2 linked regions of the Saccharomyces cerevisiae S288C genome follow. The gene in region 2 interacts genetically with the main gene of each other region. Each region holds a gene or a part of one and is shown on either strand. Other genes may lie near its edges.

Region 1 (5,020 bases), on a different chromosome or scaffold from region 2:
ACCGTAGTCAATGAGTTATACAGAGAGGATGTGGACTATGTAGCGGACAAGATACTGACGAGACAGACCGTCATGCAAGAATCAATTGCCAGATTCCATGAAATAATCGCCATCGACAAGAACCATTTACGAGCCGTTGAGCAGGCTATTGAGCAGACCATGCACTCGCTAAACGCACAGATAGACGTCCTGACCGCAAATAGGGCCAAAGTCCAACAGTTTAGCTCAACTTCGCATGTGGATGACGAGGACGTGAACTCCATAGCAGTGGCCAAAACAGATGGACTCAATCAACTATACAACCTCGTTGCCCAGGACTACGCTCTCACGGACACCATTGAGTGCTTATCTAGGATGCTGCACCGTGGCACCATTCCCCTCGATACTTTTGTCAAGCAAGGTCGTGAATTAGCACGCCAGCAATTCCTTGTGCGATGGCACATCCAACGAATCACCTCACCGTTATCGTGACTCACTTTCTTTCGCATCGCCGAAGTGCCATAAAAAATATTTTTTTAACCTTTACCTAACAAGAACGGGGAATGGTATATATGGAAGTACATAGTTCGTATATACAGAATCTTTAGAACATCTGAGCTCACTAACCCAGTCTTTCTAATGCTGAGATCGTTATTGCAAAGCGGCCACCGCAGGGTGGTTGCTTCTTCATGTGCTACCATGGTGCGTTGCAGTTCCTCGTCGACCTCCGCGTTGGCGTACAAGCAGATGCACAGACACGCAACAAGACCTCCCTTGCCCACACTAGACACTCCTTCCTGGAATGCCAACAGTGCCGTTTCATCCATCATTTACGAAACACCAGCGCCTTCTCGTCAACCAAGAAAACAGCATGTCTTGAACTGTTTGGTGCAAAACGAACCCGGTGTCTTGTCCAGAGTCTCGGGTACGTTAGCTGCCAGAGGCTTTAACATCGATTCGTTGGTCGTGTGCAACACCGAGGTCAAAGACCTAAGTAGAATGACCATTGTTTTGCAAGGGCAAGATGGCGTAGTCGAACAAGCACGCAGACAAATCGAAGACTTGGTCCCCGTCTACGCCGTCCTAGACTATACCAATTCTGAGATCATCAAAAGAGAGCTAGTGATGGCCAGAATCTCTCTATTGGGTACTGAATACTTCGAAGACCTACTATTGCACCACCACACTTCCACCAATGCTGGCGCCGCTGACTCCCAAGAATTGGTCGCCGAAATCAGAGAAAAGCAATTCCACCCTGCCAACTTGCCCGCCAGTGAGGTATTAAGGTTGAAGCACGAGCATTTGAACGATATCACCAACTTGACCAACAACTTTGGAGGTCGTGTCGTCGACATCAGCGAAACAAGCTGTATTGTGGAGTTGTCTGCAAAACCCACACGTATCTCTGCCTTCTTGAAGTTGGTCGAGCCATTCGGTGTCCTAGAGTGTGCAAGAAGCGGTATGATGGCATTGCCAAGAACTCCTTTGAAGACAAGCACCGAGGAAGCTGCCGACGAAGACGAAAAGATCAGCGAAATCGTCGACATTTCCCAACTACCACCTGGTTAGGTTAGTCTCTCGGCCTTGCGATCGCCCTCGGGACTCTCCTCTATACATCTATATAACGTATCTATAACCATGAGCCTATTTACTCATAAGTTGCTATGATTGTACGTTTGTACGAGGTGACGCGTTACTAAACTATTTTTTTCTTTTGGTTTTCTGCTTTCCTCTTCGATTTTGCCAGATACGAAAAAGGTTAAAGACACAATACCTTGGTGGCTTCTCTAAGTGGGGGGAGTTTTTCACAGCAAAACACACGGTCACCTTTCTTATTATGGACGGATATTGGGATGTTGTAGTGTCGTCCTTGCAAGACATATACAATGCCAACGAGGTCATTCCCTTTGATGATGAGCTGCAAACAAAAAAACTAAATTTCCTTAATATGTCAAAGGATCAGCTGCAATTGCATCTCAACACTTTCCAAGAACACATGGAAAACGTCAACAGAGTGCACCGAATCCTTGACAATGTACGTTCCAATTTGTCGTTGATGTTGAATCAGTCACGAGAGGAAAAGAGTGAGGAAAATACTGAAGATGCAGAAGAAGGAGAAGGGACACGCATGGCATTGTCGCAGGGCAAGAAAGCTGTGGGGAAAGTTGGCAGATCGTACTGGACCAGCGAATACAACCCAAATGCACCTATTTTGGTGGGCTCAGAGGTTGCCTATAAGCCCAGAAGGGGCAGTGCCGACGGCGAATGGATACAGTGTGAAGTACTCAAAGTCGTAGCAGATGGTACACGATTTGAAGTGAGAGATCCTGAACCTGATGAATTGGGCAACTCAGGCAAGGTGTATAAATGTAATCGGAAAGAACTACTGTTGATCCCGCCAGGCTTTCCCACTAAGAACTACCCGCCAGGTACTAAGGTTCTGGCAAGATATCCTGAAACGACCACTTTTTATCCTGCAATTGTCATCGGAACCAAGAGGGACGGCACTTGCAGGCTTCGATTTGATGGTGAAGAGGAAGTGGACAAAGAGACGGAAGTGACTCGCCGTCTAGTGCTGCCTTCGCCAACGGCTTTGGCAAACCTAGCAAGGAAATAGCAATGGTGGTTAACATTTACTACATATCATAAGATCTTCTCATGGCATTTTGTCATTATTTTGGTATCGTCGGAAGTGATGTATTCACTTGAAGGTGAAAAAAATTGAAAAAAAATGAAAGCTTGGATGAAATCAATTATATTGAGGATTTCCCATTAGAAATAAGCTATGGGCGAAAAGGAAACAAACATCAGCTGGATTTTTTCGCCAAGATGGAGAGAGAGCTAGGGATGTATGGAAATGATAGGAGTAGATCAAGATCACCTGTACGTCGTCGTTTGAGCGACGACAGAGACAGGTACGATGATTATAACGATAGTAGCAGTAATAATGGTAATGGCAGTCGTCGTCAGAGACGCGACCGAGGCTCCCGTTTCAATGATCGGTACGATCAGAGTTATGGTGGCAGCCGCTACCACGATGATAGGAACTGGCCCCCTCGCCGAGGAGGCCGTGGCAGAGGAGGAAGCAGATCATTCAGAGGGGGACGCGGTGGCGGTAGGGGTCGTACTTTAGGTCCAATTGTTGAAAGAGACTTAGAAAGGCAATTTGACGCGACCAAGAGAAATTTTGAAAATAGTATCTTCGTGAGAAACTTGACTTTTGATTGTACCCCTGAAGACCTTAAGGAATTGTTTGGTACAGTGGGCGAAGTTGTGGAGGCTGACATTATCACATCAAAGGGCCATCACCGTGGTATGGGGACTGTGGAATTTACCAAAAACGAATCTGTCCAAGATGCCATATCGAAGTTTGATGGTGCCCTCTTTATGGACCGGAAACTAATGGTAAGACAGGATAATCCTCCTCCTGAAGCTGCCAAGGAATTTTCTAAGAAAGCTACTAGGGAAGAAATAGATAATGGGTTTGAAGTGTTCATCATCAATTTACCGTACTCTATGAATTGGCAATCCTTAAAAGATATGTTTAAAGAATGTGGTCATGTCTTGCGTGCCGATGTAGAATTGGATTTCAACGGATTTTCAAGAGGATTCGGTTCTGTCATTTATCCTACTGAGGATGAAATGATTAGAGCTATCGATACATTCAACGGCATGGAAGTAGAAGGTAGAGTTTTGGAAGTTAGAGAAGGGCGTTTCAACAAGAGAAAGAACAATGATCGTTATAATCAAAGGCGTGAGGACCTTGAAGATACCAGAGGTACTGAACCAGGTCTTGCGCAGGATGCCGCTGTCCACATTGATGAAACTGCAGCAAAATTTACTGAAGGTGTCAATCCAGGAGGGGATAGAAACTGTTTCATTTATTGTAGTAATTTACCATTCTCAACAGCAAGAAGCGATTTATTCGACTTGTTTGGGCCTATCGGCAAAATCAATAACGCGGAATTGAAACCACAGGAAAATGGTCAACCAACTGGTGTTGCTGTTGTAGAATATGAAAATTTAGTAGATGCAGATTTTTGTATTCAAAAATTAAATAATTATAATTATGGTGGTTGTAGTTTACAGATCTCTTATGCTAGACGTGATTAATTCCTAAGCACCAACCGAACCATGACCTGTGTACTTTATGATAACGTATAAATAATAAGGAAGCGGGCGGGTTATAAATAACTTTAATAGTTATATTTATCATTTTGACCAAAAAGAATAACCTTATTTAATCCCTGTAAAAGAGCACCACTTCCAGCGATGAGATGCGAAAAGCGAAGAAAAAAAAAAAAAAAAAAAGGGTATTCTAAACTGAATATATAAAAACTGCCACCAATTAAGAGAAGAAAAGCTACACAATTAATTTCCAAAAATTGCAAATACGAGTATGAAGAGTTTGTTCTATCTCAAATTGCTCCTCTGGGTTGTGCTATTGTCTTTATGCCTTCTTATGGCACACCGGAAAACCAAAGTTGGTATGTATATTTAAGCATTTGAAAATGCAAAGTGCAAACCGTATCTAAATACTAACAGCTGTAATAGCCGACAAATTTCGTGCACTGCGTTCAAGAATACAATTACGTTTTAATAGACATATACGTTTAAATGATTCCTTTGCTGATGACCTAGAAAACGGTCTCCATTCCAGGAATTTCGATATTATCTCGGAGAATAGCAACGACGTAAGAGGTGGTTTGGATGATGTCTCCAAGAATGAGATTAAACAAATTATGGAAAACGATAATGTAGATTTCGATAAGGCTAGACTATTATATATGGAAAGAAAGTTCGGCCAAAATGGTATTGCCCCCGATGGAACCCCTATTGATCCAAAAGCATTCACCTTTGATAGTAGGTAAAGGTATCTAATATATTCAGTTTTACTTAAGTGGGAGGTTTTTCCCCCTTTTTCTTATTTGTCCATATTTTATGTAAATGTATACATTGCATTAAATTAAAAAGAAAAAAAAAATCAATAAAACACTCAATAAAATTTCAGTTTCTCTGGGCCACCAACAGCGCAGTTCTG
Region 2 (6,000 bases):
ACCTCGTCAACAAGATTGCTATTCCTCTTCCACGAAGTTATTTCGTCCAAAATATCATCCAAGTTAAATAATCTAACGGTTGGATATATACCTTGGATTCTCGGCAAGCCTATACCAGCGGACCCACCGTAACATAACCACATCTCATTTTTTGACTGTAAGCAACAGTCATTATTATGTTCATGTCCGCAACTGACACCCTTTATATTCCAAAGACTCAGGATATCAAGGAAGCTTTTGTAATGTTTGCCATTGATCGTCATTGAAACTTGTCCTCTAGACCTTGGCGTATCTACTGTTAAGGTAGACCTCTCATTATACTGCCCAATAATAGGAAATAAACCATGAGGCCTATATTCCGATAATGGAAAATATTGAAATGCCAAGCCAAAGTCTATTTTCCCAATCAGGTCGTTATAATCTTGTAGGAAATTATTGACGGGCGCAAATGAATCAAAGACGAAAAATAAAGCCTCTGATGGGTTTGTTTCGTCTTCGGTATCAATGTCTCTTTCCAAAAGAGTATTCTTCGTGAGCTTCTTTTTAAATGAGACTTCTATGGCCATATGACCCTCTTCTGATGCAACGTTGTTAAATGTGTAAGGTAAATTCCTGATAAAGTCTCTAATTTGTGCCGATGTGGCCAAATTGGATTCGTCAGAAACACCCAATGAAATTGCGTAGGGTATTTTATTAGAAATCATTGGTTGGACAACTTTCATAATGCACGTTTGATAGTCGATAGTATTATGTGAGTCTAACAAATCACCTGTGATCACAACTAAATCAGGGTTTTCTGATGCGAGTACCCTATCAATAAAATTTACTGTTTTTATTTCATTGATTACGGTCATGCTATTATCCGTACATTTGAAATGAAAATCAGTTATTTGGAGAATTTTGAATGATCTTTGTCCCCTCGAAAATTGTATATGGGGAGATGTTATTTTGTAATCTGCATCGACTTGGATATTAATGTCTTTGCTGGGTGTTCTCAAAGAACCTAGCAATCCATTAGAAAATTTGTGATGATGGTTTTTGGTTTCAAGCTTTCTTGTAATTGATATGGGCAGAGAAGGTATGTTATTTCTATGAAATTCATGGATAACTTCTTTCCAAGAAGGCCTCGATTCAATAAACGATGATCCTAGATATATTTCCAAATTAGTTATAGGAGCGTCATTATCATCATCATTAAGGATATACTTACACCATATGCCGCTCCCCTTGTATACCCACTCCTCACCGAACACAGCTATGTTATCTGTATCAACGGATATGCCGAAAAGCAGCTTCCACCATGACGAAGTAGGCTTTTCTCGTAGATACACATGATTGTGAAAGACAGAACTGTCGCTCGATTTCACCAACTTATTAATGTCTCTCAGCACTTGTAGGGGTATTAGTGCTGAGTCCCTTGCTATGGCTAGTTCTTTTATTGTGTTTTTTGGATTACTTTGGAAATCTTTCAGATGAACATATAAGTAACTGTTGTAGAATGGTCCAGACTGAAGTGAATACAATGTCTCTACAGTAATATTCTTAGAAACTCTGGTCCACAGAATGCTGTTTTTGTCTTTGATCTTTTTAGCAGTATTGGAGGGGTGTAATTTCGGGGCATACAAAGAACTACATTGCCTGTACCAATGGTAGCACCGCAGGATTTGAATATCGTCTATCATTCCGCCATGATATTCTGCTACATTATGATCCATTAATACATTTTTTGCATGTAGCTTTAGTGAATCTCTCGATAAATACAATGAAGTAATGCATAATATAAAAAGTATTCTCCTTAAAAAATTAAATCTTCTTCTATAATGTAATCTCATGCAAATATTTGAAGGGTATTGTTTGCGAAGGTCAATGAATGTGATAAGAGCTAATTGTTGGAAAGTAAAATAATCGAAAGGAATGAGAAAAAGGTAAGTTATTTAAATCTCTTTTGGAAATGAAACTAAAGCAACTTGAAAGAAATTTCAAGAAATAATGAAAACCTCGAATTAATCGACAAATGAAGAGTACTGCAGAACCGAAATTGAAAAAAAAGGTCGTAAAGTTGAAATGAATTGAAGTCAGAATTAAAATAGAAGGGGTATTGTTGCGGCTAAAGTAAAATAAAGAAAGGAGAAGTTAGAAAAAGCAACTCAATGATCTTGTGTTCGAGGCTATATTATAATAAGTTTAGGACTTGGCATTATTTCAGATCAAAAGTATAAAAATTAAAACTGTCCTTTATCTGTCAACCTTTTTATTTTTGTTTGATCCTTAGAGTCTAATTTATGTCCGTAAATAGAAGTTTTCGGATTGCGGGCGCAGTTAGCCTCCAAGCGGAGTTTCTATAGTATTGAAAACGTAAACTAGTAACATATATGCGGTTCAAAATTACTAGAGAAAATGAGATCATAGTTTAAAGAGACATACGTTATTTATCTGGCGGAAAGTGTATAGAAATCTATCTAATTATCAGAATCGATGTCATCGTCATTGTCATTATCGTTACCATTGTTAATATTGTTGGTGGCTTGTTCAGGATCTCCCATACCATCGAAAAATTGCGAACGCAATGTTTTTAATGAATTTTGGTCATCCTCAGCAAATTTTAAGCACCCGCTATTGCTTTTCAACGCTTCCGCGACTACTTCTTCCGTGGGAATTTTACCCTCTTCACAGTATATGAACATCAGCGGAGTTTCACTTGCGTACTTCGTGCCATGCTTGATGGCTTCTTGAACGACAGAAGGCGACGAACATTTTTTCACCTTGAATTCTGTTCCCAACGTATTACTTTGTATCCATGACCATGCACCGTTTCTGCTTCTGATAAAGTATGAATATGGCGATAGTGCTGCCATTGTGAGGATGTAGGGATTTTCGATCAGTCCCAATTGCTTTGCAGTGTTGATTATGTGTGTCTCTGGATGTGAAAGGTTCCATTCTCCATGCAGTTTGGACGCCAAGTCCTTATATTCCTCCATTTTAGCGGCTCTCGCAGAATTTAATGTATCTTTCAACGATGCGATCTGCTTTGCTGCTTCATTATTAGCATCGTCAGGAATTGTTTGTAGATACGCCAGCGTCGACTCTAGAATAGTGGATATGTTTTTGCCTTGGTAACTCTTTAACTCGTTGATCTCTTGAAGCAAGCATCTGGATCTGGTCCGCGCTTGCTTTCGTTTAGAAATAATATGTCTTATTAGTTGGTCTTTGCACTGTTTGGTGTAAAGCTGTGGGTAAAACTCAAGCGGTATATCCACGCCATTGGGTAGAGACACTGATTCTGTATTTGTTTCTAGTTCATTGAACAGGATTGTTAATACGGGTGCCACCTCCTTCAAAGTATTCTCCGGTTCCACATATCTCGCCTCTTCTTGCTCGCCACCACGAATCACGTCTTCTTCTTCTTCCTCTTCTTCGGGGTACAATAAAACGTTGAACATTTTATATAGATTAGAATCGTACTCTTCAGGAAGAAAATGAAACAAGGACAAAAACGTCTCCATTGGAGGTTCATTCTTGTTCGGAGTATGCAAAGCAGAAGATATAAAGAGACTTCTTGTTTCCCGGTCTCTGATCCCAGGACACATTTCCAAATCCACTGCCAATGATTTGATAAACGCTGGGAGCACCTCATAAAGATGCTCGGAATCGGCCAGCTTGGACCTCAATTGCGGTTCCAAGGACGACGTAAACACCTTGGCCGAAACAAAGGCTCTTTCACACTTTCGCGTGTTAACCACGGAGATGAGTTTTTGCAACTGCCAGAGCAGATGCGGTTGCAACCCTTCATTAGGTCCGCTGGCCAGCACGATCTCCGACGTAGTGGAACCATCTTCTGCCTCGCAATATGCAAGTCTGTATTTGGGCTCCGTAAACGATGAGCCCTTGAACCAGTCTGCCCTATAGTTCAAATCCTTAAAGTCCGGTTTCAAGAACACGTGTGGGAAATACACGGCCGTGAGCAACGCAAACAGCCCAAAATAGCTCTCAATTAGACTATTCAAGGGTAGCGGCAACACAACCGTAGGATCGCCCACGTTCGACTTGAACTCGTTGTGTTGTACTATACTATAAGAGGGGGGAGGAATGGATGTCTCCGATATAGAATAACGATCGTAGTTCTGAGCAGTAACCCTGCATCCGCTGGTGCTATTAGAACCGCTGCGTTCATCCGTGATGTCTTCATCGTCATCATAATCAACATCGACACCACTCACATCCGGCATATCAATGTCTTGGTCCCCGTTGTTCGGAACATCGCAGGGCTTGGTTCCAGCCACTATTTTGTTCTCAGAAATCCTAGGCTGACTGCCATCATTCTCCTCACCCATTTCCGCTTGCTCCGGCAGCTCGTTCGAAAAGATGAAGTTAACTGCTGCCTCCAAATTACCGCCAGTTCTTTGGAGGGCGTCCACAGCTACTTCGTGTGGAATACCCATTTCTAGCAGTGACTTTACAGCCTGATTATCCATCATCGTAGCTTACTTAACAAAAATCAATTACTTAAGATTCCTTTTACAGGTGACGACTCTCCTTTTCCGGCTTCTTCTCTTCTTTCCTCTACTCCGACAGGTCCTTAAGCCTTGTAGTGAGAAGTACCTTTCAACAATAGTATCTTTTACTTCCGTGCCGGGTCGCCCGGACATCACCCGCCCGGCACAGATGCCTTGGCAGCAAGCGCATCCATCGCTGCATCTCCGCCGGAAAAACAGATGTTCAGTACATGAAAAGACGTTTTTATTCGACATAAACTTTTTCAGCTAGCAAGAAGGATCTCTTTTTAAACACTCTATACAGGTGCACACAAAGGGTTGTTGAAACAGAAACACAAACGCACGGCGAAATAATATTATTTATTCGACTTACGAATTTTTCAAAGAAGTCGTACTGGTGTGAAGTGGAAAGTTTCAAAGATAGTTTGAAAAGCAGGGAAAAAAGAACATAGTGAACCTTCATCGCCACAGTGACAGGTTCAAGGAAAAAATTCACACACACACACATACGCATACGCACACAAAGCACTCAGCTCTATATACATAACAAAGAATATTGTAATTCGACACTATTTGGTACATTCAGAGGGTCCTAAGACAGCACAAATCAGTTATATAGAAAAAAAGAAGAAAAAATCATGAGTGAAGAGGAAACGGTCTCAGCCCCAGCTCCAGCTTCTACACCGGCCCCGGCTGGAACCGATGTAGGTAGTGGTGGAGCAGCAGCTGGAATAGCTAATGCTGGTGCTGAAGGCGGCGACGGTGCCGAGGATGTTAAGAAACATGGGTCGAAGATGCTAGTGGGGCCCAGGCCGCCACAAAATGCGATATTCATCCATAAGCTATACCAGATTCTGGAGGACGAATCGCTACACGACTTGATATGGTGGACCCCTTCGGGCTTATCCTTCATGATTAAGCCTGTGGAACGGTTTAGTAAGGCTTTGGCTACATATTTCAAGCATACTAATATCACGAGCTTTGTAAGACAGTTGAACATTTACGGCTTTCACAAGGTGTCGCATGATCATAGCAGCAACGACGCTAATAGTGGCGACGACGCCAATACTAATGATGACAGCAATACTCACGATGATAATAGTGGCAACAAAAACAGTAGTGGCGACGAAAATACCGGTGGCGGTGTCCAAGAAAAGGAGAAAAGTAACCCCACTAAAATCTGGGAATTTAAGCATAGTTCTGGTATTTTCAAGAAAGGTGACATTGAGGGACTCAAACACATTAAGAGAAGAGCTTCTTCCCGTAATAACTCCTCAATTAACAGTCGAAAGAATTCTAGTAATCAAAACTACGATATAGATTCCGGTGCAAGAGTAAGACCCTCTTCGATTCAAGACCCGTCCACCAGTTCCAATTCCTTTGGTAATTTCGTTCCGCAAATTCCGGGCGCCAATAACTCTATCCCCGAGTACTTTAATAACTCTCATGTAACTTACGAAAACGCAAACCATGCCCCGCTGGAATCCAATAACCCGGAAATGCAAGA

What was found. Genes that interact genetically often act in the same process or in processes that back each other up.
Region 1: mutations in RUP1 (region 2) and SGF29 together harm fitness more than expected from each alone (negative genetic interaction), as found in Saccharomyces cerevisiae (2 studies listed by BioGRID).

What each region holds. Positions count from the first base shown.
Region 1 is NC_001135.5:101,147-106,166, reverse strand, and holds SGF29 (Sgf29p), read left to right. Parts: upstream 1-1,816; coding exon 1,817-2,596; downstream 2,597-5,020. Other genes in the region: ubiquitin-binding ESCRT-I subunit protein STP22, read left to right, coding at 1-471; ILV6 (acetolactate synthase regulatory subunit), read left to right, coding at 619-1,548; GBP2 (single-stranded telomeric DNA-binding/mRNA-binding protein), read left to right, coding at 2,809-4,092; YCL012C (uncharacterized protein), read left to right, coding at 4,379-4,466, 4,534-4,850; BUD3 (Bud3p), read right to left, coding at 4,976-5,020. UniProt on the Saccharomyces cerevisiae protein: Chromatin reader component of the transcription coactivator SAGA complex. SAGA acts as a general cofactor required for essentially all RNA polymerase II transcription.
Region 2 is NC_001147.6:581,850-587,849, forward strand, and holds RUP1 (Rup1p), read right to left. Parts: upstream 4,476-6,000; coding exon 2,460-4,475; downstream 1-2,459. Other genes in the region: SIA1 (Sia1p), read right to left, coding at 1-1,832; SFL1 (Sfl1p), read left to right, coding at 5,132-6,000. UniProt on the Saccharomyces cerevisiae protein: Modulates the activity of the RSP5 HECT ubiquitin-protein ligase through its mediation of the interaction between RSP5 and the deubiquitinase UBP2. Involved in regulation of cell wall homeostasis.